Zea mays: one gene and its partners. The protein of the gene in region 2 interacts with the protein of the main gene of each other region in a pairwise test. Links are inferred from orthologs where the notes say so. Each region holds a gene or a part of one and is shown on either strand. Other genes may lie near its edges.

The links.
Region 1: the proteins of anaphase-promoting complex subunit 2 (region 2) and Anaphase-promoting complex subunit 11 interact in binary tests that used the Arabidopsis thaliana proteins (3 or more experiments, as listed by UniProt). The link is inferred for Zea mays from reciprocal best matches to the Arabidopsis thaliana genes APC2 and APC11.
Region 3: the proteins of anaphase-promoting complex subunit 2 (region 2) and Cell division cycle protein 27 homolog B interact in binary tests that used the Arabidopsis thaliana proteins (3 or more experiments, as listed by UniProt). The link is inferred for Zea mays from reciprocal best matches to the Arabidopsis thaliana genes APC2 and HBT.

The regions. Positions count from the first base shown.
Region 1 is NC_050096.1:47,777,091-47,784,628, reverse strand, and holds Anaphase-promoting complex subunit 11, read right to left. Parts: upstream 5,061-7,538; 5' UTR 4,783-5,060; exon of another isoform or gene 4,607-4,782; intron 4,490-4,606; 5' UTR 4,452-4,489; intron 3,144-4,451; 5' UTR 3,136-3,143; coding exon 2,881-3,135; 3' UTR 2,644-2,880; downstream 1-2,643. UniProt on the Arabidopsis thaliana protein: Component of the anaphase promoting complex/cyclosome (APC/C), a cell cycle-regulated E3 ubiquitin-protein ligase complex that controls progression through mitosis and the G1 phase of the cell cycle.
Region 2 is NC_050100.1:59,056,011-59,062,722, reverse strand, and holds the end of anaphase-promoting complex subunit 2, read right to left. Parts: intron 4,192-6,712; coding exon 4,072-4,191; intron 3,981-4,071; coding exon 3,892-3,980; intron 3,823-3,891; coding exon 3,741-3,822; intron 3,583-3,740; coding exon 3,391-3,582; intron 3,303-3,390; coding exon 3,234-3,302; intron 3,127-3,233; coding exon 3,004-3,126; 3' UTR 2,744-3,003; downstream 1-2,743. UniProt on the Arabidopsis thaliana protein: Component of the anaphase promoting complex/cyclosome (APC/C), a cell cycle-regulated E3 ubiquitin-protein ligase complex that controls progression through mitosis and the G1 phase of the cell cycle.
Region 3 is NC_050098.1:172,619,223-172,626,523, reverse strand, and holds the start of Cell division cycle protein 27 homolog B, read right to left. Parts: upstream 4,816-7,301; 5' UTR 4,691-4,815; coding exon 4,586-4,690; intron 3,656-4,585; coding exon 3,583-3,655; intron 3,487-3,582; coding exon 3,377-3,486; intron 2,283-3,376; coding exon 2,236-2,282; intron 2,151-2,235; coding exon 2,053-2,150; intron 1,550-2,052; coding exon 1,251-1,549; intron 418-1,250; coding exon 274-417; intron 1-273. UniProt on the Arabidopsis thaliana protein: Component of the anaphase promoting complex/cyclosome (APC/C), a cell cycle-regulated E3 ubiquitin-protein ligase complex that controls progression through mitosis and the G1 phase of the cell cycle.

The DNA of each region.
Region 1 (7,538 bases), on a different chromosome or scaffold from region 2:
GTTGTACACAACATTGCCAAAAAAAAAAGGGAAGAGTTACCAACATGACCATGCATAACAGATAATGCTAGGAAAGGTAAACAAAGGAAGCATCCCAAGAAATTTCTGGCAAGCAATACACACCAAGCGTCCAAGCGGTAACAAATTTCTAATGCCCCTCTGATGATATCTGGGGGCCACACCCCCACATGGTATCCCAGGTTGACAACCAGAAACAGTAATGACAAGCTAGAAATAGAAATCAAAGAGTGCTATCGTGCACATACTACCAAACTGCTCCTCACAAACACACCTTGTTGTCACATTCAGAAACCCTGGTTGTTAACTGAAGAGCTAACACATGAGGCCTAGATGAAAGTGAGAGAGGAAGGTGGAGCTATACCAAATACTTTAAAGAACGAGATGAATCTAACATTCAGTTCATTTTTTTTCAATGGTGGAGATCTACCGGGCCTTGGGAACAAAATTAATGTCACTGCTGTCAACCATCATCTGGTATCCTGGTTTGGATTCACTATTAACTAATAGTCCAGAATTAGCTAACTACATATTAGCTAACTAAGAGCATCTCCGAGAGAGTCTCTCTAAACGTGACCCTATTTTAAATATAAGGCCCAGAACCATAAAACACATTTCCAACAGCGGCTCTATTTTATATTATAAAATTTTATCAAACAATTACCGGGCTCGGTCTCTCGGGTCCTAAATCTAGTACCTCATATACTGGAGCCTTGTCCCCGTTTTCTCTTAATCTCCAACCATTTATTTCTTAATAATATGATTTGTTGGATTAAAAATTTCTTTTGATGCCCTAAATACGGTCCTATTTCAAATTCTAGGACTCTATTTTAGAGTTTATTTTTTTATATGCTCTAATAGTCCCTAACTTAAACTTTATGCCTCCTTGGCTCAGGAGAAAAGGAAAACGATTCTGGGGTAGATTCTGCAACAACAGCAAAATAGCCAAGGGAACATAAAAGATTTCCCAAGGATGGCGTTTATCAGTCATACAACAATATAACCTTTTGAATTTATCATATTGAATGAGAAAATAAGCTCCAACCTCCAAGTGCCTCCGTTTTTGGGGTTACAGTCTTACAGATGCATGCACACTCACTAGTCCCTACCACACAACTAGATTGCGAAGTCCAATGCTAACTCTGATTTCGTGGAGCAAAAGCTCATGCCAATAAAAAACAATGCACCGCGCCTCAAATTGAACAACCACAATTTGAGCCTCAGTCGGTGCAGTCGGTATACTCCCACAACTTCACAACCAAATAAGGCCTTGTTCGGTTATTCCCATTATATATGGATTGGATGAGATTGAAAAAAATTTAGAAGAACTTTGACTTGCTTGAGATTTAAACTCACCTAATCACACTCAATCCACATGGATTGAGACCTAACCGAACAAACCCTAAGGGCTTGTTCGGTTATTGATATTACATGTGTATTAGAGTGTATTGGGTGGGATTGGGGTGGATTTTGACTTGTTATGGGTTTAAACCGGCTCAATCCCACCCAATACATGTGGATTATCACCAAAACGAACAAGCCCTAAAGAGGTGGCTCCGAACAGGGAAAGAGTCATAAAGTGCACCAGATCTTACACTATTGAGTAAATTTTAGGAGGCTTATATAATAAGTCTAAATGCACTTGTAATGACTAGAACTCCAATTTTAATAAGGAACAAAAAGTACATGCCTTTCTAGAAAGGTGAAGAGTAACTAAATTAGCCATCCAACCTGTCGAAATCACAGCGATAATGTGCAATGTGGGAGGCTTAGAACATCTCTAAGGGCTAGTTTGGGAACCACATTTTCCCAAGGGATTTCCATTTTCCTAAGGGAAATTAGTTCATTTTCCCTTGGGAAAATAGAAATCCCATGGGAAAATGTAGTTCCCAAACTAGCCCTAAGAGTCTTTCTAAAACTAACTCTCTAAATTATCGTTTGGATAGTCATTTGAATAAAACTCGCTCTCAATATCTCTGTATTCTCCAATAAATTTCCTATATCTTGTGCACACTCTAGAAAGTCATCCTCACTATCTATCTTTGGCTAGTGAGAAATCTGGAATAGAGTGTCTATATTTAGAGATCCGGCTGTTGGAGGGTATTTGTTTCCTATAAATTAAGAAGGGTATAAAGAGTCCCTCGGAGTTGTTGTTATAAGCAGTAACAGCCCCCATGCAACTGCATAAGTTTAAAGGTTTTATTAGTGCTGTATGGCACCATTGCTAACATTGGTATGGAAGAAACAGAAGTACCCTACAAACTGGAAGAGGCATACAATTTTAAGGAACGGACGAGATAATTTACTAGAATAGCAGAAACTTTCATGCACGGTTACTTCTATCTTTGTATTCCATATGCTCCCTTTCCAGAATGACCTAGCACACGACCCTCAAAGTTCAGTACTAGTATAGGATCTTGAATTGAGCCCTGCTAATCGATAGATCATTCTTGTTGTGGAAGTAAAGAATAGAGATGAAAGCAAGTGGGGCTAATAGCCTAATACACTATGCAGTTTTCTCCTCATTGTTATGCAGTACTTAGAATACCCTACCAGAACAGAATCCAATCAATTGCCTAGCTCTGATACTAGACTTCTTGTAATCCTTCAGAAGATAAACAATAAGAACAAACCAATATGGGATAAGATTAGGAAATCAGCCCTAAGAAAAGCAATAATTTCATTTGTTCCACTACAAGCTTGGAAGCATACACAGGATCAGGCGCTGACATCAGGATTTATACTAAGTACGGAAAACAATATGTAGTAGTTAAAATAAAGCATCACAGAAGTACCAGAAAAACATCAGTCTTCTCTGAGAACTGAGAGTCGCTTGGTGCAGTTCTAGATGTCCATAGTACCTTAGCCCTTAAACTGCCACTCTCTACGGCACATGGGGCAAAGGGGTGTGGATGTTTGAGAATTGACCCACTTCAGTATGCAGTGAAGATGATAAGCATGGTTGCAGACACCCCAAATGAGTGGGCAATCATCACCAGGGAACTTACAGTCAGGACAGCAGCCATCAAAAGCCATCCTGCATATGCCACATGTCTCATCCTGTGCATCCCACGTCCAAGAAGCCACTGCATGCCACTGAAGAATCTTGACCTTCATAGTGCTACCTGGAATGCAACAATATATAAACAAGAGACGTTTTATTCACTGCATCTTGTCATATGCAGAATCCATTGAACAAGTAATGTATGGGCAGTTTGAATTAGTAGTCCACTACGCAGAAAAGAAATCCTCAATCAACTGATGAAGAGAATGAGATATTTGGGCTTTAACATATTACTGCAGAGTGACTCTTACAGGAAAAAAACAATTGATCCACATTTAGGGTTTCCCACCAAAATATAACCCCAAATCCAGAGGTCTCCTAACAGCAATGCCAGCACCAGTGGAGAGGAGAGACTAGGACACGAACTAGAGATTGAAAAGATCCTTCAGAGTTGCTGGATGTGACATAAGAAACAGTGCGCCGGAACTGGATCAACAGGATTGCTAACTGTTACACGAGATAAGTTTAAATAAACTCAAGCTAAATCCTAGTATCATCGTACATCATAACTGACATCATAACCGACGCAACAACTAACATTAGACTGAAATAGACCAAGAAGTCGTGAAAATGGCATTACCAATTTGTGATTCTCTCCAGTTATTTGGGAATCAATAACTTTGTAACTTCTTAATCTGGGAGCAAGAACGAGAGAAGGGACATGCACAGACTGGGCATCCGCCAGCACAGTGGAAGCCAGAGAAGGGGAGCCAACTAATAAGGCAGAGGCACTGGAGCATATGGCATGATCCGAGAGGTCATGAAAGTTGGTGGTGTGGGATGTGGGAGCAGCGGCTGGTATAAGACCCCGTGCTCACTGGCTTGGAGGGAGGGGAGAGGGGAAGGGGGATGACCGGATGAGAGACTGCACTATTGGGCTAAAGCTAGTATCCCTGGTAAGTGGTAATTACTGGGCCAATTCAGTGCTGGCCTCCAGCGCCAAGCCTACGTTCGCACATAGATCGGGCTGGTTTCACGCTCTGTAGATCTCCTTAATACAAAGTTTGGCATTGCTCCATAGATGTTATGCTTCCTCACCAAGTAAACCGACAGCACGCACCATGACCAACTAACAAACAACCATGTTGATCAACCCACTAGGCCCGACTCCGATGGAGACACAGTGGTCAGCTTCTTCCTCCCCTCCAATGATCCACTTGTGGCACACTCAGCCCTGACTGCCTGAGGCCTGACCCGGCACTGCCCATGAATGGCGTATCCAGGATTTTAAGAAAGGGTGGTCCAAGTTAACATAATTTCTTTTAGTACTGCAAATGTAACATGCCAACATGCAAGTAAAAAGTTTACCAAAATGTTTAAACCTCAGGGGGAAAAATGCATGTTACATTTGCTAATACAAATAACTTGCCTTGTTGGTTGCTGCCTCCACCTCTCGATTCAGCCAGTCTGCCAATACAAGAAAAAAAAAGCACATCAGGAATTTGCCCCAATCCATCTAGCAGTTCACAGATTGCAATCGGCAATTTCAAACATTTGTCCCTGCTCATTACTCAAACTCAGTACCCAATACTCTATTTCTCTGTATTCACCCGTCACAAGAGATGCTCAGACGCAGAAGCCGGAAGACAGTAGATACGCAATAGCGGTTGGAGGACAGCGCCGCTGGCGGCCAGGTAGCGGTCGCCAGTGCCCGCCCGGTGAGCCGTGGACTTGTGCCTGGTGGGCTGCAGAGTGCTAACCTGACGCTCGCTTGCTTTGCTGCTCCTGCTCTGCTCGGAGCTTCGGATGGGGCGGAGTGCGGAGGCGCGGACTGCGGTTCGCCTGCGCCGGTGCCGCCCTCGCACCCTGGGGGCCTGCCGGCCTGGACTCGGGTGGCACGGCGCGGATTCAAAAGGGTAGGAGGCACTGCGCGAAGGCAGAGGGAGCTGGGCAGCAGGCCGCCGGGGTGGCGTCGTCGGAGTCGTAACCGTGGGTTAGGGCATCGGGAGGGAGTGAAGATGGGCTGAGGCAGGCCTTTAACTATTTGTTGGCATTTCATTTCATCAAGTAGGCCTTCAGAGATAAGTGATTGCAGTTTTTTTAAAAAAATATATATATGTTACAGCAAGTTTAATAATGGGACCCCGTTTAATAATATAGAGCATAGTAAGTTTAATAATGTTGTTATATTATATATGGCCAACTAAAAGTCTAACATAAAATAACTCTCTCATAATAATAGTTTGTAAATTTAATATTTGGTCCACCACTCTCTCTCTCTCTTATAACACTAGTTGTACATTTTCAATGGAATACTAGTGAGCAGTATGCTTCTCTTCTCTCTATTTCTCTTTCTTTCATATCACCATAAATCTAATTTGTTATCTCTTACAGTCCGCCTACCAGTGATGGAGCACGACTACAAATTTCAGTATGGCAACGAGGAACGTATCGACTATCGAGCGGTCGGATGACATGCTCTGAGGCGGTGTCGACTGGCGGGCGCTTGTTGTCGACGGTAGACGCACGGTGGCGGCAGACTATGCCAGCAGGGCACGAAGGTGAACATGCTCGTGCGCACCATATCACGGTGCGAGCACCTACACGTGAGCCTAGATAATGTGGGAGAAGGCAAAGTTGTAGACGGCTCAGTTGCACGCCATGGAACTAGAGGAGCGGCTGCGTGCATGCGGAGGCAGATGGCAGATCGGGAGGGGCATGGTCTTGTCGTAGAGGAGCCGAGTAGGAGTGCTAGAGGCCAAAGGGGAGCGAGAAACGACTTATGGGGGTACCACCATGAAGGCGCTGAGCGTGGGCATCGGGAGGGTCCCACGTGTCGTGCACAGAGCGAGGTGGTACATCGGGAGGGGTGTTGTCCCACCTTTAGGCAAGAGTGCCAGAGGTGGAGGCGTGGAGCCAGGAGCGGGTGGTGGAGCGCTGGCATCCGAAGGTTAGAGCTTTGGGTCACACGGAGTGGGTGGTGGCAGGTAGCTCACGGCTAGGAGCCTCAAAGGAGACAATACCTCATAGAAGACGATAATGGGAAGTGGGAGGTGGCGAGGCACGTAGGCGGAGACAAGTGACCAAGTGGGATGTAATGCAAGGAGGAGTTAAGGTTCCTCACTTCCTCTGTTGGGTTGGGTCGAGTAGTTTAGGTATGGTGAGGGCCATAATGGGCCACTATGACTTATTATACTTTCTCTCAGTGCTTCTCTTGTCCGTAGGTACACATCTGCCTATGTGCTCCTCCTACCACTCCTAATGTATTTGACTGCTAGGGTTAGGATGGAGATGTGAGGGGAAGAAATAGATGGGAAGACGCCTCGCCTCGCCATAACCTCCCACATTCTTGTCATTATCGTGTCCCGAATCGCTTAACACCGATGTAGTGTCCTCACATGGCTCACCTCGTGCACAGACTGTTTAACAGCTTTTCACTGTCATTGCCTCCCAGGTGCTCGGCGATGTCGCTTCCACTAGATATAGCCCTGCTTGGACTAAGTCGGCCACCATTTGACCCCTCCATGTGACTATGTGTGTGGCCGGTACCAACCGCTATTGCTCCATCGCACCGATCGGTAGTGGCTCTAGTTAGATCCTACATAAGTAGTTGACTGCTATGGCTCCATCGCACCGGTCGGTAGCTGCTCTAGTTAGATCCTACCTAAGTAGTAATATATATGTTGTCCACTTAGACTTATGTGTGTTTTGTTATCCACCTAGTCTTATGGGCAAGTCAAAAACTAGTAGGCTTAGGTTAGTGTTGGGTACCTGGGAACAGGGTACCCAAAGAAGGTCGCAAGACCCCTCGAAGATGGCTCACGAACCGGGCGACCCACCTACCAAGCAGCTCGGCGGGAAGGTCCAAAGGGCCAACCGGGGACAGCCTGCCAAGCCGACCAGCCCGCCCGCCGAACAAATATTCGCCGAGCACCCCAGCGAGGCAGAGCTGCCGAGCAACCTAGTGAGGCGGGGCTGCCTAGCAACCCAACGGGGCGAGGCTATCAACCAACCCAGCGGGGCAAGGCTGCTGACCAACCCAACGAGGCGAGGCTGCCGACCATCCTGCCCGTCGAGCAACCTAGAAAGACGACAATGAACCGACCTAGTACTATCAAGCCACGTCGACACGATGGGACATCACCGAGCCATGCCCGAACTATGGAAGCGGTACCGAGGGGACTCTGTCAAGCACGACACCGGATACGTATCCTTGTTGAACAGTAGGACCAAACGACCTCGACCTTAAAGACCTCAACATCGTGGTCTCTATAGTGACCCATACGCCGAAGGGGATGGGACATTACGTCGTACCAGACGTGCGCCTACGCATGATGAAAGGTGACGCTAAGGGCATGATGGAAGGCGAAGACATCCCTAAGCCATGTCATGAGCTGACTCAACAGAACTCACCAAGCACTACCACGTCTAAATCAAAGTAGCTATAGGAACCCATCAGAAGGCGAATAGGACATAACGCCATACCAGGGGTACGACGGCGCATGCCTCGACAAAC
Region 2 (6,712 bases):
TGCTTTCCTTTCCATTATTTCACATCTTTTCCTTTTTTGTTCTTTTGGAGGAAACCTCAACCTCAAAATTCCATTAATCCTAAAGCTTTCTCTAACCATCAAATGAAATATTTTCAAAATAGCAACTGTGAATGAAGGACAGACCTGACGCAATGGTGACAGGCCTTTCCATTAAGCCAAAGGTCCTGAGTTCGATGAAGCCTCTATGTAGAATGTACCACGGAATTAAGTCTTGGCTCGGTTACTACCCCACTCATATGGGAGCCGGCAGCACTGGGCCTGTCGAACTGTGAATGAAAATCGTTTAAACAGTGATTTAGCATGAATATCTGCAATTCCCAACCATCTTATCCACTGCAATGAATTGCAGTGCATACAACCCAAATTACAAATAAAAAAACAAATTTCTGATTAACTGATCACTCATTACACTGGTGCTTAATTTCGTGTGCATAATGCAGTTTCCCAGTTATTAGTTCATGCTGGTTACCTTTAGCGTCTTTTCCCAGAAGACGCGGGGGCAAGAGCCAAAGATTCCGAGTCTCTGAGTCAGGTCAAGCTTTGTTATCCACCCACAGATTGTTCCTTACTTATCACTGAAGCAAAAGGACAAAGGTCCCTAGTAGCTAGCAGGAAAGAGGTGTAAGAAAGTATAGGAGAGAAGAACGACAGAGCATAGTGGAAGACAGATGTGGACTCCTGTGACTCCTGTCTCGTGCCTAGGCATCTAGGAAAGATGACGAGACGGAAATTTCGCTGGACTGTTACAGCTGAGTGGAGTCAAAGCTAATCGCCAACCGCGTGGAAACAGTCGAAAATGCCTCTGCGATGAGCACGTCAGTGAAATCAAGCAGATCGAAGTCTGCGAGCTACAAACAAAAACGCAGCATCCGGCCTGGCGGCCCCGTTGCATGCTTCCCTCCAGGAGAATCACTGGTTTGCTCGGTTTCCCGTCACTTGCATTTTGTTCGATCCCTCTATTGTTACACGGAAGAGATGAACGCGGAGTGGGATAAACCTGAGCAGGAACGGACCTCGTCGACGAATGCGGGGCGGCGCGGCGCCAGCGAAGCTTCTCCTCGACTAGGCAGTCCCATCCCTACCGATGGATGTTTGGACTGGACTTGGGGCGCGCGCGCGCACACACACAGAGTCATCGGTATCCCAACCCTCGACCACGGGAGCGTCCCTCGCTCTTCCCGGCCATGGTGCAGCCGGCGAGAGGATTCGTCGCGGCGCCAGTTTCGTTGGGCCCCGAGTGGCGCGTGCGTGGGCCTGCAGCCCGCAAAATGTACTGGAAAGTGGGCTAAACAACGGTTTCCCATATCTGGATTAAGATTCCAGGATGCGCGTTACAGTAGTTTTCTATAAAGACAACATAGTGTAAAAATAATTAAGGTGTTAATACAGTAACATTGAATCTTGTTCATCAAATTCAGCATCTATGACTTAGTGCAATATCATCTCCTCCTAAACTATTTTCTAAAGAACTAAGTCTTCGTATGATAGGATGTGCGTGGGATTTAACTCAATCGTAGATAGTGAATCTGATGGACAAGACTTGGTGTTAGTATATTAGTGTGCTAATAGTTTTTACACTAAATATGCTGTTTTTTTAATTCAAATCTATTTTTCTAATGATAAGGAAAGGAAGTGTTATTTGGTGTGGACCTTCACTCTCTGTTTTATAAAGATGTTTTATAAAGATACGATTCTCATTTCACATCTTTATAATAAATTAGTTGCATAGCAGATCACAAAGTGTATTATTAGGTTATCTCTAGTAGCTTAACCATCATCATCCATATATTTAAACTTTACTATGTAAACAGTATAATCTACAGTGCAAACCAGTTTTTTATGATCATATGAGTAAACTGTTGTAGACTGTCTTATATTTTATGATGTCAACTAGTTCTCATACAGTTAAAAATAATATCATTAATCACCCTATCATTCTTTATCATGGTCCAAATCACTACCTTAGCATTTTTATTATTATTGAAACTATCCACATCGTCACATAACTATTCACGTATTGGATAGGGGTGTAACAATAGCAATAATAACTTGCGATAGTGAATGCTAAGTGCTACAAGGTTGATTCCAACCATTCCTACTCTCATTTCCCTCTATTCATACTTTCTATTTATTTTTAAATACATCCCCTCTTTTATTACTCTCCCTATTTATCTTATCCAATCATTTCCACTATTTGGCTTCCCTTTATGTTTTAACTAAGCTATTTAACTCATATACAATAAATTTTTGGAGTTAAAAAATGTACGATATTCGTATTTGTGCTATTGCAATACGCATTGTTTTCTGGTTAAGAAGTTTAGAATAGATTAATTTCGTAAATAATCACAGTCATTAACAAATGAGAGATTACATCTCCTACATCCGATGAGATTTTTCTCTCACCTAATATTCCATGGAAAGGGACTTAGGGAGATGACGTCGTTGGACGGCTCATCCCCGTTCGTACACGTGGAAGAGGGGAGAGGGAGTCGTAGCCTGACGTCAGCATCTGCCTCTAGCAAATTGTGTATATAGATCTTGTTTGGGACAATTTTAGCTCAAAAAAATTGATAGAGTTGGTATAACAAATCAGATGCTTCAGAAAATCGTGAATCTAGAGTTATAAGACTTTAAAAAACATTTAGTTAAATTATTTTATTTATTATTTAGATTATAAATACTTTAAAACTATTTAAATAAACTGACATAAACTACAGCTCCATACTGGATCTAGAACCTAGAGCCATCTCAAATACCTCCATAGTAACACCTTCATAGTCATTGTTTACATAATGAAGTTTAAAATAAAGGAGGATGTGAGATAGGATATGTAAGCTGCCTCTGAACCCGATAACATAGCTTTGATAATGAAGTGTGTTATATCTGATTACCTGACATCTCTAGTCTAAACAACTCATTAGCAAATAGTACAAGTGTACAACCCTAGTCTAACAACCCACTATCCTAGTATAGAAACGGCTGCTACCTCTTTAGCAAGTACAGCCCATCCCTCGTTTCTAGCTTTTCATCTGCTACTAGACCAGAAAGAAAACTTTGCAGCTGCTGCAGCGACTTGTCATACGATGGCTCGGCAATACAAAACATCTGCAAAATGAGAAAAAAAAATGAAAAGAGATCAAAATGTGAAACATAAAAAAAAACCAGTATATCAGATAAGGGGAATGCCGACCAACCATCTTTTGTGCCATTACCTTTAGAGTGTTATGTATCCTGTCCAGCGACATACTCCCAAAATTTGTTAGCATTCCGACGATGTATTTCTGCGGTGCGTACAGCGTCCCAATGTTTGAAAGGTGAGCACAAACAAAATGTAAACGTATTTATTCAGTATTTCATTTTGAGCCATACCTCGTAGACTGTCATTTCTTTCTTAAGCTGTTCCTCCACTGAAGCCACAGAGCTTTCACCTTCCTCCTCAGTCATCTGATACTCTGCCATGCGTTCATTCACAATACTGTCCTTGTTGACATCAGACATGCTATCGACAACAGTGAAGGTGCGATCATCGGCATCTGGTCCTGCTGATTCAGTCAGGACCCCCTATATCATCACATCACAGAAGCTATCAGCAACAGCCAATATACAATAATAATGATTATGCTCCAACAGTCATGTTAGCATGTTCTGCATGATGACAAGCATATTTCACATAAAAAAAAATAAAGCAACAATTATCCGCTGATACATGTGTGCCAGACCTTGCTTGTCCAGAAACTTATTCTTCTGTTAAGAGAATCCATAGGTATGCCAATTTCTGTAGCAAGTGCCTTTGAAGTCCAACTAGAAAGTTCGATAGATTTAGTCAAAAGAGTACAAATGATACATGCAATAATACAGTTCTTTGAATACCTAGATTTCTCTTGAAACCGCATTATGATTGCAGCATGCACAGGAGCTACAGTAAATTGCACGCTTCTTCCGTCAAATTGCAGTTCTAACTGCAAGAGCAAAGAAAGTTATAACTTATACCCGCTTCTCATAGCAAGATATGTTTCCATAGTACCCATTAATTAAATATGTTTTTCCAACCTTAACTGTTCCAAGATTTTTCTTCCATAATAGCTTTCGTGGAGTTTTTATCTGGTGAAATCGTTTTGCGTAATCCGATAGCAACTGATCAACTGAAGCAGGAACAACAAGGTCTTCTATCTGCATTCATACCGGACACAAGAGGCCGGTGAAGAAAAAAGAGCATACAAGAGATAGAAAATACTGACTGTTCAAATTATCTCCTAAAAATGATGTTCCGTCACGAAAATACTAGTGTTACGTGAACTAAGATATACACAAAAAATGTTGGTGTACAATTTTTTGACAGTCAATTACCCTAACAGCATTGAAATACTTTAGTTATTTAACAGTTACGATGACATATGCAGTGGTTAATGAAGCATATGTCTCTTGCTTCGACAGGATAGCATGCTAATTGATGCAGAACTGATCTTGTCAATTCGGAGTTTAGTATTTGATTGACTAATGAGTCAGAAACTCTCAGAACATATCGATTTTAAAACTGTCACTACATTCTGACTCATTAGTCAATCAGTATCTCCACATCATGATTAGTATAGCTTGAAGATACTGAGATTCTTCTTCGGCGTACAAACTTTCTATATGCCTCCATAGTGGTTCCCGCTGCTGTTTTCCCTCAAAAAAAGTCGATAGACCCTGACTCGCTAGTCATCTCAGACTTTTTTTAACGTAATGGCAGGAGCTCTGCCTCTCAATTAAGAAGAAAGGAATTGATCCAGTTTTAAGGAAAACCGGGCCCAAAACCTATACAAGGTGCCCAAGCAACCTAAACGACGACAGCCCATACACAAAGCCCATTCAGAGTCATCGTTACCGAGCTCAACACAAAGGATGGGCAGCTCCGACTCCCCAAGACAGACAACACATGACCAAAGGAAACCTGACGACGTCTACACCCACAACACCAGCACAGGAGGAAGACCGCGGTGTGTCGTCGTTGCCAAGCCTTGAGACACCCCACGTAAGGTAGCTTCGATTCTTCACCAACGAGACTTCCAAACAAGATCCTCCGCCCCACCCCACCCCGCATACGCCCAACCTCCGAAGCAGTCCAGTCCACGATGAAGGGGGGTTCGCCACATGTCATCGCTGTCGAGCCACATCCTCTGACGTAGTAGCTTCGACTTCACGTTGCAAGCCCGCACCTCCACCCGCCTACCGAACAACGAGAAGCGAAACCAACAACCGAGAGACGACGTCGTGGCCGAGACGAACTTCAAAAGCGATGTCTTCAAGGAGTGACGTCGGGGACACCATCGTCGCATGTCTGAGATGGACCGGTCTTTCGCCCATGGAAGACAATGCTGAAGAATGTGACGCCCTCAGCAGGGGAAGCAATGCCCACAGGCGTCACCGTCGTCGAGGCTTTTGCCCAAGAAGCCCCCAACACAATGTCAGGCCAAGACCCCGGTCAAAGCAAGCAACCTCTGTCGTCGTTGTTGTCCTGACACCTCACACAAACCCTTCCAGAGGGGCGACGACGCGTCGGCTGCCGCAGCAGCCGCAAAGCTGCGTTGGTTTGTCATCCCCTCTTGCTAGGCACACAGAAACCGAGCAACACCAAGCCGCGTGCAACACACTGCCACGCGTCGAAGCCACTGTCGCCAGCCGCCACCAGCCCTGGCAACCGCGGTCACCAAAGCAAGCAAACACCAGACGCGAGTGCCACGCGACTCGCCGCCAGCAGCACATGGTGCCGCACCCCCCGCCGGCCAGATCTGGCAGGAGCAGCCGCTGGCCGGCCGCGCCATCAACAGCCCACCGAACATGATGTTGCGCCTACACCTGGCAACGACGCCCTCGTCCTCCTCGACCGATTTCGCCAAGATGTAGATGCTGGCACCGGGAAAAGCGGGCGAGGGCCGAATGAGCACTTCGAGCGCTTTAGGTGGAGCTGGTGCGCCCGAAGCTCATTCAGGACGATGGCGACTTGCTGCAGATGCTCTGCCCATGACGAGCTGTAGATAAGAATGTCGTCGAAGAAGACGAGCACAAACCTCCTTAGGTACGGCCGTAGGACGTCGTTCATCAAGGCCTGGAATGTCGCCGGGGCATTGGAAAGCCCGAACGGCATCACTAGGAACTCATAGTGGCCATGATGAGTGCGGAACGCCGTCTTGGCGATGTCGTCGACGCACATCCGCACCTGATGATAGCCCGAGCGCAAATCGAGCTTGGTGAAGAAGCGAGCCCCATGGAGCTCGTCGAGAAGCTCGTCCACGACGGGTATGGGAAACTTGTCCTTGGCAGTCTTGGCGTTGAGGGCGCGGTAGTCGATGCAGAAACGCCAGGACTTATCCGCCTTGCGAACAAGGAGTACCGGCGCCGAGAATGGCGAGGTGCTAGGGCGGATAATCCCCTGGGTGAGCATGGCGTCGCACTGGCGCTCCAGCTCATCCTTCTGCAGCTGGGGGTATCGGTATGGTCGCACGGCGACCGGTGCTGTTCCCGGGAGCAGATGGATGCGATGGTCGTATGGTCGGGCCGGCGGCAGGCCTCGGGGCTCCTCGAATGTGGAGGCATGCTGAAGAAGAAGCCGGTCCAGCATGGGTTGCTGGTCACTTGCGGCTACCACCGCTGCTACGGAGGCTCGAGGGTCAGGAGGGTCGGCACCCCCGATGCCCCGCCACAATACACG
Region 3 (7,301 bases), on a different chromosome or scaffold from region 2:
GGGAATTTATATTTAAGACATTTTGTGCTCAAGGGAGTATGAGCAAATAGAAAATATCAACATGCCATAAAATAAAATAAATATAAACCAACCCATATGTCACACTGACATCCTTTACAGATAAAGGTCAGGGGAGAAATGCGAACTCTAGGGATAGACAGGCCATTAAAAGTCATGAGCAAACCATGGAAGTTCTAAAGATCGGGAAACAGGCAGGTACAGAAGTTACAAGTAGTGGCATCCAGTAATAGCAATCAAATGAAAGAACCTAACCTTCTTTAGCCTTGCTTCATCCATGTATTTCCTTCTGAGTGGCTGGCTTACTCCATTAGCTTTCTGCTTAGTGGGAGCATCGCCACTTATTGTATTCTGGTAAGCATGTACATTCCTAAATAGTGGTGGTGGCATGATAGAAGTCTGCATAATTAAATTAAATAAAATGAAACTCAGCTGACACTAAAATAATTTCAAAACTGAAGAAGTTAAATCGCCAAGCACAACTGACTCAAAATTGTGTAAAACAACTCAACAGTTAAGACACAGTTGTGATTGACCAAATGACCAAGCAACAGTGCCACACAGCTCTGTATCATCAGAATGTTGTTCACTAGACACAGATGATAGATACTTCCCAAGGGCATACTCGGTGTTGAAAGCTCCCACACAAGGTGGGATCTAGCGAAGGGAACTCTAGGCAGCCATTGTTTTGCTTATTTCGCATTTCGCAAGGAGGCCGATGGGAATCCAGAACGTCCAAAACAAGTGGAGACTCTACCGCTGCACCAGACCCACCCTTCTATTCCCACCATTCCAAATTGTAAGTTAATGTGGACTAGAGACAGTGTATATTTAGATGCATAGCAAAAGCTGTGCACCTAGAAAAGCCAGAACGACTTGCATTTTAGAATGGAGGGAATACTTCATTGCAAGGGAAAATGATTTTCTTTAGAAAAAAAGGTAGATGGGGCAAGATAGATGAACAAAACAAGTTCTGGGGTCAGGACAATTCTTGAAGGTCTAAAACAAGCCATCTGAGCAAGTGTCAAATAATTGGGAACATATGAGACACCGGGGTCTAAAACAAGCCATCTGAGACAGTGTCAAATAATTGGAAACATAAGAGAAACCAAGCTACCAGTGCTTTTTAACATGGTTCTACCAACTGATGATTACATTTAGTCTCCTATTACTATTAGGTGCACATTGGCAAAAAAAAATCATAAGTGAAGAATCAAACAGGTTGTATTGACCTGTGCTGCAGCTGGTGATGGGGTGTCAAACTGTGATACATTAGAAGTTGAACTGTTCTGCACATGCAATGCGGTTGGTCTTACATGAGGATAACCAGATACTTCTGTTATGTTGTTAGCATGAAGCTGTTTGATTTGCTTAGGAATAATATCCCCAAAACTTGCAGAGACACTGGATGATAGAACTCGATTTTCATTGGCAAAGTTCGACTTCACCAAAGTGGACGTGGATGTGTGTTCCTGCTGGAGACGTAGAGCAGTCGATTCACTAAAACACTCATCGGTATCTTCGGCAATACCTATAAGACAAAGACACGTTTTTAATGTATGTTTATGGCTTCAAACTTTAAATTGAGAGTGACTCCTTGCAAGCAAAAAGGCAAGGATTAATGAATCATAGTGTAACTTCTACAGTAAGGCAAAAGGAAATACTGCCCACCAGGTATGAGCCAGTAACAACGAATGGCGGAATGGCAAGCTAATTGATGATGATTGAAATCCATCGGATAGAGAATTTACTGCAGTAATGCTCAAATGCTCTGAATTTACAGGAACAAACATATTTCTACAGGTTAACATAGAAGACAACAATATATGAGAAATGTCTATGAAGGCCATATTCAAATCCACTAGATGTAGCATATTCAGTAACACGCATTCAAATCACCATTTCATTTCTATTTCTACACCTTCAAAGGTTAAGATATGAGGCAATAGTATACTTCATGCAACTAGTCCTAATATATCACAATTGCTATAGACCTACCACAGAACTTCATATATGGGTGTAAAATGAACCAACCTAATATACACAATTCCTCATATGCCGCCCATAAAAGAGGATCTAGAGTCAACGCTTGTGTAAATTGTTCAGCTGCAGCTGAAATTCTGCCTGTGCACCTGCACACAGTTGAGATAAATATCTGAACTCTGAAGAAATATAGAATGCAGCAACATGGATTCAGTTAAGCCATGAATAATAAACCTGTAGATCACTCCAAGGAGGTAGTGTCCTGTTGCTCCACTTGGAACCTGCAGAAGGATGAAACTAATACTAGAAACAAGCTGACCCAATACAGGAATTAAAACAAACAAATGTGATTGATTTTATTTTCTAAGTATCTACTTCACCTCTGTAGAATCAGTGAGGAACCTGGCTGGTGCCAAGGGGCTTTCCTTTTTGGCCAGCCAAACTACCTAGCTCCTAGGGCTGTAGTGTTTTTTATCCAGTTTTATGGATAGCTTTGTGTATGCTTGTTTCTGGCCTCCATAAGGAGTGCTTGTACCTGGGTCCTTATGGCCCTTTATTTTCCCTCTACTTTAATATATGGGTGCGCAGTCCTCCTGCGCTCTTTCGAGAAAAAAAACCTCAGCTGAACATCGTGCCCCAGGTGAAAAACAAATGAAAAAAAGAGAGTTTCAAGCCAATCCATGCTGTGCCAGCACGTACCTTGTAATACTAATGCTTCTCTCGTATAACATAAAACAACCAGACTTTCTAACAATAAAGGGGAATAAACATACATAAGACTTTGGCCTTGGAAACAAATTTGGTGTGAAACACCGCAGGAAAAATAAAACAATCAGGCCTAGTATTATTTAAAAGAACCAGTAAATGTTCTCACTGAACTAGCTATGGAATTTCTAGTTCACAAACCAACAAGTGCATCATGCACCTCCCTTTATTCAAAACTGGAACCCCATAAGGAAACAAACTATTGTTACCAATATTTTATTTTTCAAACTAATGTAGTGCTGTCAAGTCCCTTTTGAATATTATGTTGTTAATATAGTTTATTACTGAGCGAAAAATACTTTGCTGCTATAATACCACCACACTTTCTTCTACACAAAAACAGACACACTCAAGTTTTCACACACCAATTTGTTGCACAAAGGCAAACGAATGAGATATTCACAACAACAGCAACAAACAACACACAAAGCCTTTTAGTCCCAAACAAATTAGGATAGGCTAGAGTTGAAACCCAACATAAACCACAAATCAAGGTTCACTCACGTTCTACATGTTTTCTTTTGGGTTTCATCTCCAATAGAATGGCTAGGTTCGTGTTCAACGTTAGAGATATTTACATAAACAAATCACTCTAAAATATGATTTATACCTCCATGTTTGGCTCATTGACTGGACATAGAATTTCTTCTGCTTCACGCAAGAGGTTCATTCGAAAGCATGATGTAGCAAACAAGTACCGGGACTCCGGCAGCTTCTTCCCTTCATATAACATCAGAAACAAAATCCATAAACCATCCAAACTACCTTTATATAATATATGTGTTACATGGCGAGCATATAACCATCCAAACTTACCTTTCAAAACGTGATATGCAGCATATGGCTGATTGTTGTGTAGGTAGCAGGTTGCTAGCAATTGCACATTGGTCTGTGCAGAGGAGGTAGAGCAAGAACATTTAGTGCCCACAACTATGTTGCAAATGGACTTAAAATTAAAAAAAATAAACTAAGATTTTTTGTGAGCAAGAATTACTAATTGAAAAGAAAGCATTGTAAAGCAGGCACAGATTCAGGTTAATCAGTGAGGTCATCTGCTAAGAAATTGAATGCATAGTCTCATACACACTAAACATGCATTCAAGTTATGTCGACTTTCATCCCACATGAAGACCTATGATCCACATCAAGAACCTAAATAAAAACTAAAACACAAAACCATGCATTCAAATTCCTGAACTTCATCCCACATGAAGACCCATGAACCACGTCAAGAACCAAAATTAAAATTAAAACCCACACCCTCAAGTAATTATAAGGTTAGAAAAGAAAGTGGGTGAGCATGTCCTGTAAGAACATAGAATTCAAGCAACTGAATACCTAATGGGCTATAAATATTGTCACCCCAAGGTTCTGACAAGGAAAAGAACTCACAGGCATACACGTTACTGTAACCAATGCCCATTATGCATAAACACCAGTAGAGCTTTTACCTGTGAAATTGCCTCAAAAATTTAGGCAGAAAATCACCCTCTCCAGTAAAAGTTCACTATGAACCCTAGATGAATCACGCGGGATACTCCAGTTCCCTACACCAGCTATAGAGAGCTGTTCTAATTCAAGCCTAGATAAGCTACAGACCAAAAGCTCACCACTCTGCTACTCTACTCCTAATGCAACCCTAGACACTTCAAAAAAAACGACAGAAGACTACTGAATCGAACTAAACAACGGAGGTGAGCCCCGCGCTCAAATCACTGCCACACGCCTGATCCGACCCCCAGATGTACCATTCCCACGCGCAATACACCGAATCGAGACGTACTAGCCTCGTTAAGGAACATGGATAAAAGGGGGCTACCTCGGAGGGGAACTGTGCGCAGAGGCGCTCGCAGAGGAATATGGCGTTGCGGTACATGAAGAGGCGGAGGCTACTGTGGACGCGGTCTACCATTAGGGTTTCCATCGCCGCCCAGCGGCGGCGGCGAGCGCGGGTGGGCGATATCAAGGGGATTGGGGAAGTAGTGCGGTGGCCGAAACGCAGGCGGCAGGCGCAGCAGGGGAGTGTGAGTGTCCGGACTCTGGTCGTTTGAATCAGCCGTTTGAATCCAGCAGGCTCTTGATTTTTGGGTGCGATGCGATCTGATAGGGCATTCCAAGTTTCCAACGAGTGCCGTGCCTGTGCGAAACAGCCGAGTTACATGGCCGACAAGTGGGCCATAGGGTTCGCTCCGAATATGTGAACGTTGGACAAGCCCGGCTGGGTTATTTGCTATTACAGTTTGAATGTGGATGTTGGAAAGCATGAAAATTGAATTGGGTTCAATTACAAATCAAACATGATACTGAAATGAGATATAATTTCAAATATATTGTTTGGATGTTATTGAATTAGAGTTTGGATTTGTGTGGTCCAATTCCACTCAATACAGAGGAGTAGTGCTCTGTATTAGGAGACGGAATTTCTAGTTATAGTCCAATTCTATGGAATTAGGTCTCTGATTCCAAATCTCAATTTCATGTACAACAAAATAATAAAATTCTAGAAATCTGATTCCAATTTCTAATCATGTGCTCCAATATCTACATACAAACGGGGTATACTGGTTTAAAGTGGCTTCTTCATCATAATAGTACTATATAATATAGTGTTTGGTTTGAGTAATGAGCTAGTCCATCATCTTCTAGCTCCTCACTTTTTTTGTTTGGTTTATGAAATGGAATGAATTGATCCATCACCAACTCATTCATCATAGTTAGTTAGTTAGTTAATACTAATATGAGAAATAGACTTATCCCAACAAATTTGAAGAATTGACCCATGATGCACCACCTCATTTTAGATAGAAGGATTCCTCAACCCAAAAACCCCCTAACAGATTAGGTTTATCTATAATACTCAACTTATCTAAAATAGTACTCCCTCTGTTTTAAAATATATTTCGTTTGACTTTTTCAACCCAACTTTGATCACTCCTCTTATTCAAAAAAAATCCATGGAAAATGAAAAAAAATCTAAATCATATGTCCCTAGAAATGATTGAGACAAGTGCCAATATCGAATGCCAGGAGAAAGCTACGAAGTGTTCGCCTTGTCCCCTAGAGAGGTCATAGACTACCCTATTTATATGCCTAAGGGGAGCACGTCTTTGTAGATGAGGCTGCTTGCCTGCTGCGGAGGGTGTCTTCACGTCCTGTAGACAGCAAGGCCTTTGTACTTCGTTGTTCACTTGAATTCGCTGGTTTCCCGCTGAGAGCCGAGGCTAAGGCTGAGGGTTTGGCTCTATGCCCGAGCCCTCAGGGGAGGGCTACCCATATCGTAGTGGTTGTAATAGGGCTTAGTTATGGAGAAAAGCCACTTGCGGGATGTGTCAGCGCTTCTGTATCTGATGACATTGGGGTGCCCTTGGCTGCAGATATCGAGATCGGAGCCGAGTTCGGGCAAGGCGGAAGTCTTCCCGAGGTGATGGCTGAATCCTTACTGATGTGTGCCACAGTCGACGGAGTGGTTTCCTGCAGGATTCGTGGTATAGCAGGTAGCCGAGGCCAAGCTCGAGCGAGGCGAAAGCGGTATCTGAGGGTGAGCTTGGCGTTGGGCGAGGCGGAGTTTGGGCCCGAGGGCTAGTCCGCTCTTCTGTTGTATTAAACATCCCGTCAGGGGATGGCATGCGACGTGCGTGCACAGTAGCGCGTGTGTAATCATGTTGTTGGTATTGGACAAGACCATAGTCGTCTTGTATTGTACGCCTGTAACCTTGCGTGGGGTAGGTACGCGCATTGAATGCGGCTGTTAGGGATGGCAATGGATGTGATTTATCCACGTACCCGCGGATAAAAAACCCGTTGGGCACGGTTTTGGGTACAAACCTGTACCCGTGGACACGGATACGGGTAGCATTTGGTATCCGTGGATATTTTTAAAACAGGTACGAACAATCAATATCCATATCTGAATACCCGAATATCCGTTAAAGTAACTCGACATGTGGGGTCACTGGAGTTTGGAACCACTTCACGGACCACAGCCAGCCCAACTGCCCAAGTCCCGTACTCCCGTTGCCACAACTGCAGCTATTGTTTGTGAGAAACTGGGAATATTTTATGACTTAACCATGTTGTTTTCTGGGACCAAATATATTACAGCTAGTCTTTTCTTTCCTAAAGTGTGTGAAGTTAAACTTATAGTGGGCAAACGGATATATCCGCGGATATCCGTTACCCGCGGGTAATGGATGTGGATACTGTTTTTATTCGTAGCGGGTAACGGGTATGGGTTCGGATATCGGATATAAGTCACGGATATGGATGTCTAGAGACACTATCCATGGATAGTTTATCTGTTGCCATCCCTAGCGGGTGTCCCCCACCTGCCTTCGGGCTCGCTTTGTCCTTATCACCTGAGACAGGTTCGGGCAAGGCGGACAAGGCGGTCCTAAGGCGAGGGTGCCTCGGGCGAGGCAGAGACCCTCCCGAGTATGTGACCAACTTGAGGTTCGGCTCGGGCGAGTCAGAGATTTTGGGAGGCCCTCGTGGGGAGCTTTTGTGGGGATGGCTCTTGACACGGACCTCGGGACAGG